Linked DNA regions of Rattus norvegicus. The protein of the gene in region 4 interacts with the protein of the main gene of each other region in a pairwise test. Links are inferred from orthologs where the notes say so. Each region holds a gene or a part of one and is shown on either strand. Other genes may lie near its edges.

The links.
Region 1: the proteins of Emilin1 (region 4) and Nmi interact in binary tests that used the Homo sapiens proteins (3 or more experiments, as listed by UniProt). The two-hybrid records come from large-scale screens. The link is inferred for Rattus norvegicus from reciprocal best matches to the Homo sapiens genes EMILIN1 and NMI.
Region 2: the proteins of Emilin1 (region 4) and Mtmr9 interact in binary tests that used the Homo sapiens proteins (3 or more experiments, as listed by UniProt). The link is inferred for Rattus norvegicus from reciprocal best matches to the Homo sapiens genes EMILIN1 and MTMR9.
Region 3: the proteins of Emilin1 (region 4) and Bex3 interact in binary tests that used the Homo sapiens proteins (3 or more experiments, as listed by UniProt). The two-hybrid records come from large-scale screens. The link is inferred for Rattus norvegicus from reciprocal best matches to the Homo sapiens genes EMILIN1 and BEX3.

What each region holds. Positions count from the first base shown.
Region 1 is NC_086021.1:56,845,735-56,849,826, forward strand, and holds the start of Nmi (N-myc-interactor), read right to left. Parts: upstream 2,810-4,092; 5' UTR 2,791-2,809; intron 1-2,790. UniProt on the Homo sapiens protein: Acts as a signaling pathway regulator involved in innate immune system response.
Region 2 is NC_086033.1:41,964,328-41,968,333, forward strand, and holds the start of Mtmr9 (myotubularin-related protein 9), read right to left. Parts: upstream 2,810-4,006; 5' UTR 2,569-2,809; coding exon 2,387-2,568; intron 1,392-2,386; coding exon 1,283-1,391; intron 1-1,282. UniProt on the Homo sapiens protein: Acts as an adapter for myotubularin-related phosphatases. Increases lipid phosphatase MTMR6 catalytic activity, specifically towards phosphatidylinositol 3,5-bisphosphate and MTMR6 binding affinity for phosphorylated phosphatidylinositols.
Region 3 is NC_086039.1:104,063,767-104,066,934, forward strand, and holds Bex3 (protein BEX3), read left to right. Parts: upstream 1-1,129; 5' UTR 1,130-1,203; intron 1,204-1,239; exon of another isoform or gene 1,240-1,475; intron 1,476-1,558; 5' UTR 1,559-1,637; intron 1,638-1,989; 5' UTR 1,990-2,017; coding exon 2,018-2,410; 3' UTR 2,411-2,659; downstream 2,660-3,168. UniProt on the Homo sapiens protein: May be a signaling adapter molecule involved in NGFR/p75NTR-mediated apoptosis induced by NGF. Plays a role in zinc-triggered neuronal death.
Region 4 is NC_086024.1:31,180,848-31,184,849, forward strand, and holds the start of Emilin1 (EMILIN-1 isoform 1 precursor), read right to left. Parts: upstream 2,811-4,002; 5' UTR 2,354-2,810; coding exon 2,184-2,353; intron 1,949-2,183; exon of another isoform or gene 1,481-1,948; intron 1,233-1,480; coding exon 1,107-1,232; intron 675-1,106; exon of another isoform or gene 648-674; coding exon 427-647; intron 1-426. UniProt on the Homo sapiens protein: Involved in elastic and collagen fibers formation. It is required for EFEMP2 deposition into the extracellular matrix, and collagen network assembly and cross-linking via protein-lysine 6-oxidase/LOX activity.

The sequences.
Region 1 (4,092 bases), on a different chromosome or scaffold from region 4:
CACCAGATGAAATTCTTTGGTTCTTCGAGGGTCATAGCAAACCTCCATAAGGTTCCTGAAGCCTTTTCTGACCTCCCCAGAAGACATTAGTTCTTCTTTATTGCTTACAAGGCACTTTAATTATATGTGTCACTTTAAGTAAGCAACGAATACCTACAGACTGGGACTACAGGCAGGCACTCCTGCTTGCATTCAGGGCAGGAACCTATGCAACCAAGAACTATACTATACTGTGCATACTATACTGTGTATTTTATATTGGATATTTTTCTGCCCAGTAAAATATATATTCATATTCATATATATTCATGTCCATATAGACATGAACTCCTCTTATTACATTTCTTTTTTTTCCTTTTTTTCGGAGCTGGGGACAGAACCCAGGGCCTTGCGCTTGCTAAGCAAGTGCTCTACCACTGAGCTAAATCCCCAACCCCTCTTATTACATTTCTTAAGAGAGAAATTACAATTGTTTTTAAATATTAAAACACCAACACTCTTTTTTTAAACATTTTTTTTAGATTTTTTTTTTTAAGATTTATTTATTTCATGTATGTGAGTACCCTGTCGCTGTCTTCAGACACACCAGAAGAGGGCATCAGATCCTATTACAGATGGTTGTGAGTCACCATGTGGTTACTGGGAACTGAACTCAGGAGAGCAGTCTCTGCTCTTAACTGCTGGGCCATCTCTCCAGCCCAAAGCACCAATATTTTTAAAAGCTCTTGATGTAAGTGGTCTATTGCATAACACCCCCAGAATATCTTCATCGCATTTCTCATCTGAATATTTTTCCCTTTCACACTGTGAGGAATGTATGGTAATTCTTCCCTTTCAAGCAATCTTATACTAAGCAGAAAAATGACCCCTTCAAAGACATCCATGTTCTAGTCCCAAGAACTTGGGAAAAACGTTACACTGCAGAGAAGATTTAAGGCTGCAAACTGAATTCAGGAGGCTGATTGTAAAATACGGAGGTAGGAGCTGAAGAGATGGCTCCAGGGTAAAGAGCTTGCTGGGTAAGCACTGGTACTTCCCATCCTGGGCAAGGTGCAGTGCATTCTGAGACTTGCTGTCAGACAGTGTAGCCAAGACTACAGGTCCACTGAGAGACCCTGACTCAGAAATTAAAGTGGAGCAAAAGAGAAGACAATATCCAGAGTTCTATCTCTGGCCTCCACAGGTGCATTCAGGTATGTACACACACACACACACACACACACACACACACACACACACACACACACAATATAGAGATTATGCTGCATTGTATGTGAAAACTTCACCTAACCAGAAACTCCTCTAGATTAAAGGAGGGGATAACATCAGCATTAGACTGAGATAGGAGGCAAAAACACGATCAGAGAAGCAATGCTGATCCTGACTTTGGAAATGGGAGACGGAATGCCAAGCCAAGCAAAGAAGGCTGATCCAGAAAGTGGAAGGAGTTCGTCCCAAGAGCTCCCAGGACAGAAGACAGCTCTGCTAGCCCCTTTACTTTCCCAGGGAGACGCACAGACCCTGACAACTGACAGACACACAGACATACACAGGCACACATCTCGTTTTAAAGTGGTACTAAAAGTAAATAGTTTTAAATTAAAAAGTGTGTCCATGCAGGCGCATGTGTGTATAAGCCACCAAGGCCATGTAATTAATTATGGCAGTAAACTTAAAAAAATAAACTATTATCTCATTTTCCTAAGTATACTTATATCATGGTGATGCAATACACCGAGTTCCTGGCAACATAAAGAAAGGAAGAAAATACAATGTATCCATGCTGTATACACCTGAAACATGTCCAAAGATGGGGTGATGCAATACACCGAGTTCCCGGCAGCATAAAGAAAGGAAGAAAATATAATGTATCCATGCTGTATACACCTGAAACATGTCAAAAGATGGATACAATTTTAACAATTAAAAGATCCTAATTGTATTTCTTTTATAATCAGGGGACAGTTGATTGAGTACAATAAAGTAACTGGTCTATCTGGGTGGTGGCACAGCTCTGTAACAAGAGGATCAAGAGTTCAAAGCCAGCACAGTGTAAATAGAAAGCAGTTGCCTCGACTGTTTTCGTTGCTGTGCAGAAGTTTGGTTTATAGGCAGGGAAGAAAGCTGAAAAAGCAGGAAGTGAACATATTGATTCAGAGTTAAGTTCTCTGTGAGACAGGGCCAGGGAGACCGGAACACAATAAGGGACTGGTGAATGTCCAGCAACTTTATGTGACGATTAAAGGAGAGGTGATTTCATTCTCTGGCCCAGTGAAACCTGCTGATTCCCCTCTCTCCTGGCTGGACCGGACACAGGAAAAGTTTCCTTCAGAGGCACACAAGTTAGCTTGGATGCCTCTGGAACAGGAGTCCTCTTAGTCCAAACCAGTGGCCTCCTAGAAATTTATTAAGTATTTTCCCTTCAACATCTCCTCCCAAAACAAAACAAAAAATCTTACATATTCTGAAAAAGTGAGGCGTGACTACAGAATTCAGCACCTAACAAGGAAAAATGAATAATAGTCTTCCCGGGAAAGCCATTTTACTAAGAACATGCTGGAGCCAGTCCCAGTGACTATAACTTTCCTTTTCCCAGGAAGGGAAGCAACCCAAGGCTGAGAGCCCGGAGCAGGTGAGTCCCCAGACAGAGCACTGGGGACCCTGAGGCCCACAATGCTGGGCTGGAAGCCGCAGTCCTCCGCCCTCTGAGCGCGCGGGGTGGAGCATCCCTGAGCGAGGGTGGTGGGACAGCAGGGACGCAGAGGACCATCCGGTGGGACAAGCACTCACCCTCTCTGCCGCGCAGCGCTCGGAAGCCGGCAGCGCCGGTAGAACCGAACCCCACCTCGGAAACACAAACCTGGCCTCTGCAATGAGCAGGCTCAGTCACAGGCCGTTCTTTCACTTTCGTTTATTTCAGAAACAGGATGCTTCTGCTCCTTGCCCTGCGGACCTCGTCCCGGGCGCCATTGCTGCTGTTTCTATACTGGCAGTAATTCCAAGACCTGCTTTGAAAAGCTTATTTGTGTGCATTCTGCGGAACGCGCTGTTGAAAAAAACTGTATGGAAACCAGGGCTCTCTACGCAAATTCCCTCTGTAATTTGCTAGACGGTTACAAAGTTTGACACCAGCACAAGACAGACCAGGAAGCTGGAAAAGCTGCTTCCTGGGTTGGATTTTATGACGCTTGAAAGTTTTCTTCTAAGCTTTGTTTTTGTTGTGAAGATTTTGTAAACAAACACTCCCGCTAGATGTGTGCATTTCCTTTGCCAGAAAAATAGCTGGCTTCTGTCAAGAATGGTAGTGTCCCCTAATCCTATACCAAGAACGAGTTACTCCATAGCTGGGCGGCACTTGAGCACAGAGCTGTGGAAGAGTGGAAGACAGCAAAGAGATATCAGGGCCTTCTACATAGTGGTGCCCTGTATCAGTACGTATTAACCCATAGCTCGGTCTAAAATGACACACAGTGGCAGAAGCAAAATTCTTTGCATCAAGAGTAGTGATGGGGCGGCCGGGTTGGCGGCGGTGCAGGCCTTTAATCCCAGCACTCAGGAGGCAGAGGCAAGAGGATCTCTGTGAGTTTGTGGCCAGAGTTCCAGGACAGCCATGACTATACAGGAAAAAACCTGTCTGGGCCAGGGAGGGCGGGGGTGGGGTGGGGGGGGTGGTGGTGGTGATAGGACCCAGTTTACAATGACACCAGAACCATATGAGACCCTGTCTTAAAAAAAAAAAAAAAAAAAAAAGATAAGGGTTTCTTTTGTGTTGTCAGCCCAATTAGAAAGTACAGGCTACAGTGACTGGTACATGGGAAGGGGGGTGATTCCCAGGGTTGGGTTACCCCTTCTCAGAGGAGAAGGGGAGGGCAGAGGACATATAAGAGAGTGGGACTAGGAGGAGAGGAGGTGTTGATGTTGGGATGTAAAGTAAATAAATAAATTAATTGTCTATTTTTTGAAAAATAAAAACAAATGGTCTCGGTATTAGGTTTTCTTCTGAATTTGAGTGGGAGCATAAATGTCAATTAAAACTCATAAGAGGTCATTGGTTTGGACTGAGTTCCAGAGCAAAAGTGAAATCGCTTATGC
Region 2 (4,006 bases), on a different chromosome or scaffold from region 4:
TCAGTTTGCTTTCTAATTCTTGTTGGGGAGTATAGCCAAGCCAAGATCACACTTCCAAGTGACAACTGTGTATGGCAGACTTTTCAACGTACACGTTCATTTCTACAAGCAGAACCTGGCAAAAGCAGAGAGGTTTGTATTCACTTCCTCAATAACACATCACCCGATCCTCTACTTCTTGTTTAAAGCCAAACCAAATTCTAATTATAGATTTAAGGCTTTCTCTCTTCTTTTAAGAGCTTAATCCACTTTTTTTTTAAAGAAAAATAAAGCCCAATAAGTCAGTTATACAGAAAGAAAACAAAATTATCTAGAAATCACTTTAAACAGAATCAGTTGATATAGCTGATATAATTTGGTGTTAGCAATTTAAAATGAGGCAATTTAAAAGTTGGGGTGTGTACCGAAATAGTTAGAAGGAGGAAAGGGAGTGTGAGGCCTTCATCAGAGCCCTTAAACTATCCAAGCAACGTTCCTATGTGTGGCCATTTGGACCAATGTTTCTATGTTTGACCAATGTCCAAAGCTCTTATACATGCATAAACAGACATGCCTCAGGTGGACTAGTGAAAACAAATGCACACTTGCAGATGTGCTAAAGTCACGGATGACAGCTGTTGGTGACAATCACTTGCTTTAGTCTATTACACAACACTGTGAATACACTTTTGACACAATGGTAAGCTGAGAAACGGTTATGACACTGAACTTTATGTGACATAGCTACTTCTATCACAAAGTCTCAGAATAAAAATGTTGCCATAGAAGGGCCCTCCAATGCAGCAACCACTTGCCAAGTATTATACTAAGCATTCTACATATGCCCACGAATGTAATCGTACAACACCCTAAAAGGCCCGTAAAGTTATTCTCGCTTTATGAGACACTGTGGGCTAACTGTGAGAGGTGAGGTACTTCATTCATGGGCCCGTGCTAACAGGACCCCACTACTACAACAATCACAGTATTAGGAGTACTGCTCAGAGTTCAAGGGTTCCAAAGATACACTAAACTCAGGAAGATCAATCACACCAGCTCACTGTAAAGCCCACTGACTGTAACAAGTCCACCATCTAGCTACATTGTATTTGTTTTAGTGGCTTAGAATTCCACATGGTATGTTCTTTCAAGAAAGCCACTGAAACACAAAAACAGTTCACAAACTGCCTTCATCAAGTATCAAGATTTGCAGAGTAAACGTGATTTTTCTCATGTGTCAAGGGCTGTACAGAATCAGAATATTGCCATTTTCCTATCAGAATTTTGCCTGCAAAATACTTACCTCGATGGAACTGGCTATATTTAAACACTCCTCCATTCCAGGAATATCCAACTGAATTATTCGGAAATCTTTACATTTTATGATAATAGTACCCAGAGAGCCCACAAATCTGTAAGAAATGACAAATCATGAGAATGGTAAGAAAACCAGTGAGGACAGTAGGTGAGAACCAGAACATGGAGAGCCAGGGATTCAGCCTTTATCATGCAGGCATGAGAGACCAGTGAATACACTTATGCCACAAAGAGTAGTAGCCTGCTGCTGGGATGGATGGATGGATGGCTGGCCTGCAACCTCTTCATCCAACACTATGACTTCAGATGGTCCTAAGGCATAATCTCTGTAGAAATCGTAACATCCAAAATATTTAATCAAGCAGTAGACAGTATGTTGTTACACACACTTCATAATGAATTATATAATTTGCCTTCTGCCTAGAGTACACAGGGTTCATAGGGACACCGACAAAGCAGAGAAACTAAGCGCAAATCAAAGTATATGTAACTGTTTGACTCTGAGGCACTCTTTTGCACAGGTAAAGAGTACAGAGTGGGAGGCTGACACCTTAATGATCTTTAAACCTTTAAAGGAGAATAAAATGCGCATATGGAAAAGTAATGCAGTGTACTCAGTTAAGAACTATAGCCAGGCATAGTGGCCCATACACACACAGCTGTAATTCCAGCACTTACTTGGGAGGCTGAGGCTGGAGAGTAGGAAGTTCAAGACTGGCCTGGGCTGAAAAGGGGTGAGCATGCCTATTTAAGAACGGCGGCGCGTTGGGGGCCGGAGGCAGGGGAGAATTAAATTGTATTTAATTACAACTTGGTAAAGTCAGATTGGCAACTAGCAATTCGAAAACTGGCAAGGAACATTCAAGAAATGTGATGAGAGAAATTTTTTTTACGGAGAACACTGAAAATACGACCGCTGCGACTCTGAGACCTTAGCCTGGAGATGCCAGGTAGCCAGTGCAGTTGGCTTTCAAATGTAGGCCACAGGAGGCTCATTTGGCTGGCTGAGCGAGGATGCCAAAAATAAAACACCTGAAAGCGTCTGTTCTGTTCCTGGCTCCTCACGGACCTGGGTGTGGTAGGCGCTCACCGTTTGTCAATGGCGTCGATATTTGAATGGAGGAGCCAGAGCTCCTCAGTGTTGTCCTGCCGGGAAGACAGGATCAGGTGGTGGCCCGTCAGACATAGGGTCCCTTCCACAGCGGGGTAGAAAGGCCGGTGCAGCACCACATTGTCCACCCGCGGGGTCTTAATCAGCTCCGCAAACTCCATGTCTCTAGCGGAGGGAGGCCTACTCCCGCAGACGCAGGGCGGTTAATCCGCAGACCTAGCGCCTCGGCTGGGCGGGTCCGGGAGGTCGAGCCCCGCCCCTATTGGGCGGGTGCGTTAAGGCCTGAGGGCACCGCCCTGGTCACTTCCCCGAGTCTCTTCGGCACCACTGGCCTGCACTCGGCGCAGAGAAGGCTTCACGCCAGGCCTTGCACTTTCTGCTGCCACCGGCCCCTGACCGGCGGGCTGCGGAGGAGACGGACCTGGTGTCGGGGTAGCATCCGAGCTCGAGCAGCTAGGGACTTCTGGCGGAAGTAGCTACTGGACGCTGCACCCGGCAGTAACTCCGTGCAGAATTAGAGGCACTCAAGACTCGGAAGACTTAGAAGCCGGACCGGAAGTTGGTCCTTTGTTAGATCCGGTGGAACACAGCCAGAAACAATGACTTTATGTTCCTACAACGGAGCGGGGGAAAAAAGAACTCTCATCATCTACGGGCGCAATCCTTGCCCTTCAAATACTCCTCATCGGAAAAGGCAGGACAAAAAGATGTCACTGACCTGCGGGGATCCGCTTGAGTGGTGTCCCTCAAGAGCTCTTCTGGGCGTTTGCTATAATTGGTGGTTATTATCAGGGATTGGTTACGAAGAGATGTCAAATGTAGGATCGAAGTAGTGGTTGTGATCGAGAAATAGCCTTCTAGTGTCTGGAAGGGACACGGGGCTCTATTCCTTAGACCCTTTGAGAACGCCATGATTTTAACCAAGAACAGCGTATTCTAAAAGGATGCAAAGAGAAACTTTTTAATCCTCGCCCTGTGAAGGACTCTAGTAACTGCAGAAACAGCTCAGTTAATCTGTAGCAAAGCCGGAAATCAAAGACCTTGCTAAGTATATTGGTCACGACTTCATAGCATCCCGGCTAAGTACAGTCTAGCTGAACTGCTCAAGGACAGTGCAATGACAGACTTTTGCTGTTGTAATTTCCCCCTTCTCGCTTTCCGTCTTTCTGCTTTATCCCAGAATAAGAATTATGTTTGAGTCCTGGCCTGCTCTTACTTTGTTAGCCGTGAAAATTCTCACCATGCAGTATCTAAGAACAGCGAGGTAGCTGACTTTCGAGTGTGCAAAGTGAAGCTGGTCAGACTGCACAGTGTTTGCCCTTGATTGTGTTCTGGTCTCTCCTAAAAATTTTCCCTTCTTAAATCACTCCTGCAATTCCAATTTATGTGCAAAAGAAAAACAACTAGCAACGAATGCTAAGGGAATGAGGCAAAGTAATGTGAAGGTATTTTCCAGACTGGATTTGTTCATTTTCTTCCTCATCTGACACATTATTTTAATTACAAATTGTGGAATCTAGAATTTACTTCTAATCTGAAAAATAATGGAAAATTTTTACAGAGAAAACATGAAAGTAAAACCTTGAAGATTAAGGTTCC
Region 3 (3,168 bases), on a different chromosome or scaffold from region 4:
AAGGAGGAGGCAGAGGTAGGGAAGATCACCCCAAGTTTGAGGCCTGTTAAATATAGCTAGCTCCAGTCCATTAGGGACTACATACTGAGAACCTGTCACGCACACCAAAAATTCATATAAAATGATGACTTCTCTCTGTAGAAACCATTCCAGACCTGTTTTAAAGCATTAGTTTGTATTCAGCAAGAGTCTTTTATTTTTAAATAAAAGATTGAAACAGACTAATACAATGTGTTTCAAAACTGACATGCAAAACTTAGAGAAGATATTTTCTGCTTGATGGCATAAGCAGCATTTTGTTTTCATTTTGCAGAATGAAGCATTTCTTTCAAAACTGAAAACTCACCAGCCTTGGTAGTGCAGGCCTTTAACCTTAGCTACAAGGGAAGCTGACATAGGAGGACTGAAATTCAACAACATAGACAGGCTTTTTTTTATGTTTAAGTAGTGTGTGTATTGGGGGGCAGGGGTTGAAGCGCTTTGTAAATACACCTCAGGAGATGAGAGCTTCTCCAGCAATTATTAAACTAGAGAATCAATCCCCAGCATTTCAGAAAGAAGTGGTCCTTATAATTTTGAATTTTCTAAAGCATGCTGATCGTGTGTGTACTCGCGCATGCATCCCTGCGCGGGGACGTGTACGTGTGTGTGTGTGTGTGTGTGTGTGTGTGTGTGTGTGTGTGTGTGTGTGCGCGCGCGCGCGCGCGCGTGTGTTTTAAGGAAATAAAGAGAAATATATACAGTCTATCCCACTCTCCACCTCCTGGTGTCTCATGGGGAGAAATCCTGGAGAAAACATTTGTATAAGGTGGAGAGGAATCTCAAAGAAGGCCAAAGCCAAGACCTGGCTATAGTGGGAGGGAGAGATGGAGGATGGTGCAGACTCTCCCTGGTAACAGGGAAGGGAGATGTCCAACCTCCTGACGGTGATGCCACTTGTGGTTCCTCAGATTGGTGCGGATCCGGATGAGTGACGGGTGGGGCCCGAGGTGAGCGCTGGCGGCGGGCGGCGGGGGCGGGGCCTCCTGTCGCACTGGCCTCCTGAGCTGGGGGAGCGAGCTTGGCAGTGACGCGAGGCCCTCACGTGACCCGGGGCTGCAGAGCGACGCAGCCTTGGGTGCAGTCGTCACTCGCGTCTGGCCACCAGCTCAGAGCTTGTCTGCGCGCGGCGGGCTGGCATCGGGCCCAAGGCGAGCGGGGCAGGTAAGGGGCCTGCACGCAGCGGCCCTGAAGGCGACAGCCAGGCGTCGGGCGGGCGCGCACCCCGGGACGGTGCAGCGGCTCGGCGGCTTTGTGCATCGCGGAGGGAACCCCGGCTGCGTCCGGGAAGGGGCGCCCCCGCTCAGGGGCGGGAACGGCGCGGGGGTCCCGGGAAAGGGGCGGCTGGACCTGCCGGCCTGCGGGCAGCGGAGAGCGCTAGCCAGGGAGAGCCGGGATGGGGCAGGGCTGCTGGAGATCGTGGGCGACCGCTGCGGGTAGGGGGATGGGCGGTGGGTCTGGGGAAGGGGGTGCGGTGCGGAGCCCGCGCCGAGTCCTTCCCATCCCACCCCGTCTGCAGGTCTGCTAGCCGGGAGTCGCGGAGGCGCGTCTCGCAGAGAGGATTGAGAGGAGGACTACGCGGCAAGGGATAGGCCCAGGTCCGTTCAGGGGCAGTGTGTGTTTTGTTGGGGGTAGGGGGAAGCCCCGTCTAGGACCCCAGTGAAAACCCCCACCTCACACTACTCTCCATCTCAGTCCTCCATTTTGGTGCCTCAAAGCTCAGGGAAAGGATCCTGGGAAATAAAAATGGTGGGCTTTGGGGGAGGGAGGGAAAAGAGAGCTGGGGGGTGGGAGGAGGGACTCGAAATGGAGGTTCCGTAGAGGTTGCCTGGAGACCCTAAGATGGGGAAAAATAATAATGAAAACCCTTGCAGTTAGTCTCTGAATTTTGCTGGTCACAGCACCAAGCATTCAGTTTTTTTCCTTGCCCTCTCTTACTTGTGTTCAAAGAATAACAACCCGAAAACAAAATCTCATCATGGCCAATATCCACCAGGAAAACGAAGAAATGGAGCAGCCCCTGCAGAATGGACAGGAAGACCGCCCCGTGGGAGGAGGTGAGGGCCACCAGCCTGCTGCAAACAACAACAACCACAACCATAACCACAACCACAACCACAACCACAACCACAATCATCACCGGAGAGGACAGGCCCGCCGACTTGCCCCTAACTTTCGATGGGCCATTCCCAACAGGCAGATGAATGATGGGTTGGGTGGAGATGGAGATGATATGGAAATGTTCATGGAGGAGATGAGAGAGATCCGGAGAAAGCTTAGGGAGCTGCAGTTGAGAAATTGTCTGCGTATTCTTATGGGGGAGCTCTCTAATCACCACGACCATCACGATGAATTCTGCCTTATGCCTTGACTTCGGTCATTTCCCCTGAGATTCATACTGTGATTCCCGCTGTATTCCTAGCCCTTGCATTTTCCTGACATGCCTTTAAATGACCCGTTTGTGGTGAGCCTTGTGTTATTTCCATGTGCCAGGCGGGGCTTGTGTTGCCAACTTATAATTGGAAATTGCCTTCCCACTCAGTGTGAGTTTCTGTCAACAGTACAGTGTTGCCCATTTGCATGGAAAAAATGTAAAGTCAATAAAGCAACTGAAAAGCAACCTGGGTAATCATTATTGTCTCCTTAAAGCATAAATACCTAGAGTAAAAAATGAGCTACAAAAACTCTGAAAGTGTTGGGGGGACACGTATAACTTTCCTTTTATTTGGGGCTTCATAAACTTTTGGGGTATAAGTTTATGAATCTAGTGCAGGTTTATAGAATTATTTGCTCAACAAACTTAAAGAGTAAATCCTCTTGGTGAAGATAGAATTTCTTAAAATTGTCCAATATGGTTTAGATTTTTAAGCCCCCAGCCGTCCCTAAATAGTTGGGGTAAACTGAGGAATATCTTCAGATCTTGTCCATTTTCCCAATTCCATACAGGAAAAGGAGGTGGGTTCCTCCATGTCATCTGTATGCTGCAATCCTTTTTCGGTTACAGGTATGCGATTTGGGTACACATTCCCTTCTGAATCTATACCTATAGGCCTTAGCACAGCTCAATTTGACTGAAGTATGTAGTGAGAGGTATGATAGGGTAGAAAAACGTCTATAGCTTGATATCCA
Region 4 (4,002 bases):
GGTTTGGGACCTGTAGTCAGGTGCAATGCATGCTAGGATTTGTAGTCTTAACTCTCTTCCCTGCGGACAGCTAGAGCTTCTCAAGGGAATTACCCCCGCTTCTCCCACAGCAGTTCCCGAGTAGGAAGGACCTTGGCCACAAGAGGGAGTATGTGAACAAATTGTCTCTATGCCTTCTTACTCAGTTCTTAAGTTTTCAGGTCTTTGAATCAGTCTCTCCCAACTCCTGCTCTCTCCCCCCTGCCCCTCCCGTCAAACACACTCAAATCACACAAGCACACAAACATGCGAAGTCTCAGGGATGTCATTATCTCCGTTCGGTCCACCTTCCCCCTAGTTTAGAGCTCAGGGGTTTCCCACCCTCCACAGCGGAGCCCCACATTTTCCACTCAGGATTTCCCCATCCCGGGCAACATGCAGACTCACCTTCTCCTCCTAGTCCACTGAGGTGGCTGCCGGCACTGGAGCCAGACAGGTTGGGACGCGCAGGCCTGGGCCGGGGAAGTGGTGTGGAGGGTGCAGGGCCCAGAACAGAAGCAGGACCCTCTCCGCAGTCATCGCCCCCATACCCCTGACAGCACCTCCACTCCATGTCTGTCACCGTCTTGTAGGCCACCCGGTAGCGAGGGCGAAGGAAGCTGCGGTACCTAGGCAAAGGAAAGGAAGGTTTCTACCTAGGCAAAGGAAAGGAAGGTTTCGTATTCTCTCCTGTCACCTTGTGCTTCAGGCTAGATCTACCTCTCTGGCCACTATGTGGCCCTGGTCATTCAACAGCTATCAGCTTTTTTTTTTTTTTTTTTTCCAGCTATCGGCTTTTTAGCCCTGGGTTAGATCCTGGCTCTTTCTCCCCTTTCTCTGTGCTGGAACCCTGAGCTAATCTCTTTGAGGCTGACCTGTGTCAGCAGAAGACCTGAAGGCTGGAGACAGGGAAAGAATGCCTGGGGCAGCTCACCAACCAAGCTCCACTATCCTCTCAAAACGGTTCTGACTGAAGTCTTATCCTTTCCCCTGCTCCCTCCTTTGTACAGACCCCCTAAATGACCACCAGCTGCCTCCCCTTGCCCAGATCCCACTGAGTACCCAATCCTTTAAAGTTGGGGGCTCACATGATACTTCGAGGACACTGGGGCTGGCCCCAGCCACAGGGTTGATAGTCTGGCTTGACAAAGGTCTCCACTCCATCCTCAAGGACGCAGCTCACTGTCCGAGTCACCACGTAGGCACACCAGTTCCTGTAGGCACAACCCTACCTGGGCCAAGGGACCAAAGACACAAGCCCCAGTGGGCCCAGAGGCTGAAGGAGGGTCAAAAGATGAAGGGGGCCTTGAGGACCCACTGAAAGGTAGGGTTTTTGCAGGGGCAGCACCATTCCCCCCCCCCTCTCTCTCTCTCACACACACACACACACACACACACACTTTCTTATGTCACTATAGCAGATAAAGACTTTTCAAGACAGGGAAGACATAAGGATACAAACACACAGAGACGTCAGTCCTCCTGACTGTGGGGTCCCAGAGCACCCTAGAATCCACGGTCTCTTGTGTACTTTTTTGGGCCTATCTCAAACCCCAGCTGTGTAAGCCGACCAGCTGGGTTCCTGTAGATGATCTTCTGCACACGGTGCTCCCACCCAACCCTCCAGGAGAAGAGCGGGGCAGGCAAATGTCCGGCCTATGCTTAAGCAAAGAATGAGCTACTGATGGGCTCTGTCCCCTTGGGGCTTGTGGTGCTGCCCTCTTGGCCCCATTCACACTGGCTTCTAGGCTATGGGCTGCTGCGATGCCAGAGGGAACAGAGCAGGAGGAGTGTCAGAATTATACACTAGCGGACGGGGCCAGGGAAGCCCTAGAGAAGGACAAAAGGTCTGCCTGATCCAGAGCTGGCTGGCACACAGCTGGCAGCTGGCAGGAAGGAGGGTCCATGGCCCTTGGTGTAGTTTCCCTGGGCACCGAACTGCAGACCTCCATAGGAAAGAGGGAAGAGGGAAGAGGGAAGAGGTCAGAGCTGATGGCCCTTAGGCCACCAAAGCCTGGAAAAAGTTCCACTGGGAGGTTCATATGGGCGGCACATTGATGGATGGGCCTCCATGCTGCCCTTCTCATTGCATTAAGCCCGTTGCCCACCTTCTAAAGACTTTCCCAACCATAGCTTCCAGCCCTGGCTGGGACACAGACTCTTACCTGTGGCGGCTGGCAGGCCGGGGTGAGTTCTGGGCCTGGGGTCCCCCAGGACTGAGGGCCCCACTGCCCCCTGTGTACAGGCTGTAGCCCCGAGGAGGGTAGCTGGCAGCTTCTGTGGCAATGGTCAGCAGACAGCAGAGATAGCAGCTCCAGAGGATTCTGGGGGCCATGGTGAGGTGTTCCTTGCTACCCTTAGAGACACATCTTGGTCTGACCAATGATGCCTGTACCCGTGCTTCCAGGGGATGCCGCTGCTTCAGGGGACAGCACGCTGAGCCAGCTCTGTCCCTAGCTTCCTGCCTGCAGCCCCCAGCTGCACGCCTCCTCCTTGGCTGCTGGGCCTGACCCCTCTTTCCCCCTCCTCTTTCCTCCTCAGGCTCCTGTCTGTCCCTCCCTCAGTTCCTTCCGCTCTCCTCTTCTGCACTTCTGAGGGGAGTCTGTTCTCCGGGCCCCTGGCCTCCTGTGCCTGGTCCCTGCCCCTTTCAGAAACTGCTTCCTGAGCCTCCACCCCCTGGCTCCAGCTGGCCCTCTTCTGGTCTCCCTGTTTTGTTCCCTGGTGACTGGATCCTAAAGATGACAGAGCTTTGCCCCTGTGGCTGTTGAGAGGCACAAGAGTGACTATGGTGCGGGCCAGCCTTCTCCCTCCCTCCCTTCTCTCCCCTCCCTTCCCCCTGTCTGGCTGGCGGTCCAGCCTCCCCCTTCCTCCCCCACCTCTCCAACCATCGTGAGCCACATCTGCTTCTTGTTAACTCCGGGAAAGAGGGGGGGGGGAGGAAAAACAGAGAAATGTGGAGTTGCTGCCGGGCTTGAGGCCAGCCTCTCAGACAGGCCACATGGAGCCTGGGCCAAATCTGGATAGGAGGCCCAGAGCTGGTGGCTAGGACCAGAAACCAGCCAGAGAGATCCAGATCCCCTGGGTTGGTCAGAGCGGGACTACTTGGGAGAAGATGAAGAGAGAGGGAGCCCTGAGGAGGAGGAAGGCAGGACTGTACAGCTGTGTGTGTGTGTGTGTGTGTGTGTGCGTGTGTGACTGTACAGATGTGTGTATGTGTGTGACTGTACAGACGTGTGTATGTGTGACTGTATGGTGATGATTGTGTGTGTGTGTGACTGTACAGACTTGTGTGTGTGTGTGACTGTACAGACGTGTGTGTGTGACTGTATGATGATAGTGTGTGTGTGTGTAACTGTACGATGATAGTGTGTGTATCTGTACAGATGACTGTGTGTGGCTGTACAGACTGTGTGTGTGTGACTGTACAGACGTGTGTCTGTGACTGTATGATGATAGTGTGTGTGTGTGTGTAACTGTACGATGATAGTGTGTGTATCTGTACAGATGACTGTGTGTGACTGTACAGACTGTGTGTGTGTGACTGTACAGACGTGTGTGTGTGACTGTATGATGATAGTGTGTGTGTGTGTAACTGTACGTTGATAGTGTGTGTATCTGTACAGATGACTGTGTGTGACTGTACAGACTGTGTGTGTGTGTGTCTGTACAGATGATTGTGTGACTGTACAGTCGTGTGTGTGACTGTATGATGATAGTGTGTGTGTGTGTGTAACTGTACGATGATAGTGTGTGTATCTGTACAGATGACTGTGTGTGACTGTACAGACTGTGTGTGTGTGTGTGACTGTACAGACGTGTGTGTGACTGTATGATGATAGTGTGTGTGTGTGTAACTGTACGATGACAGTGTGTGTATCTGTACAGATGACTGTGTGTGACTGTACAGACTGTGTGTGTGTCTGTCTGTCTGTACAGATGATTGTGTGACTGTACAGACGTGTGTGTGTGACTGTATGATGATAG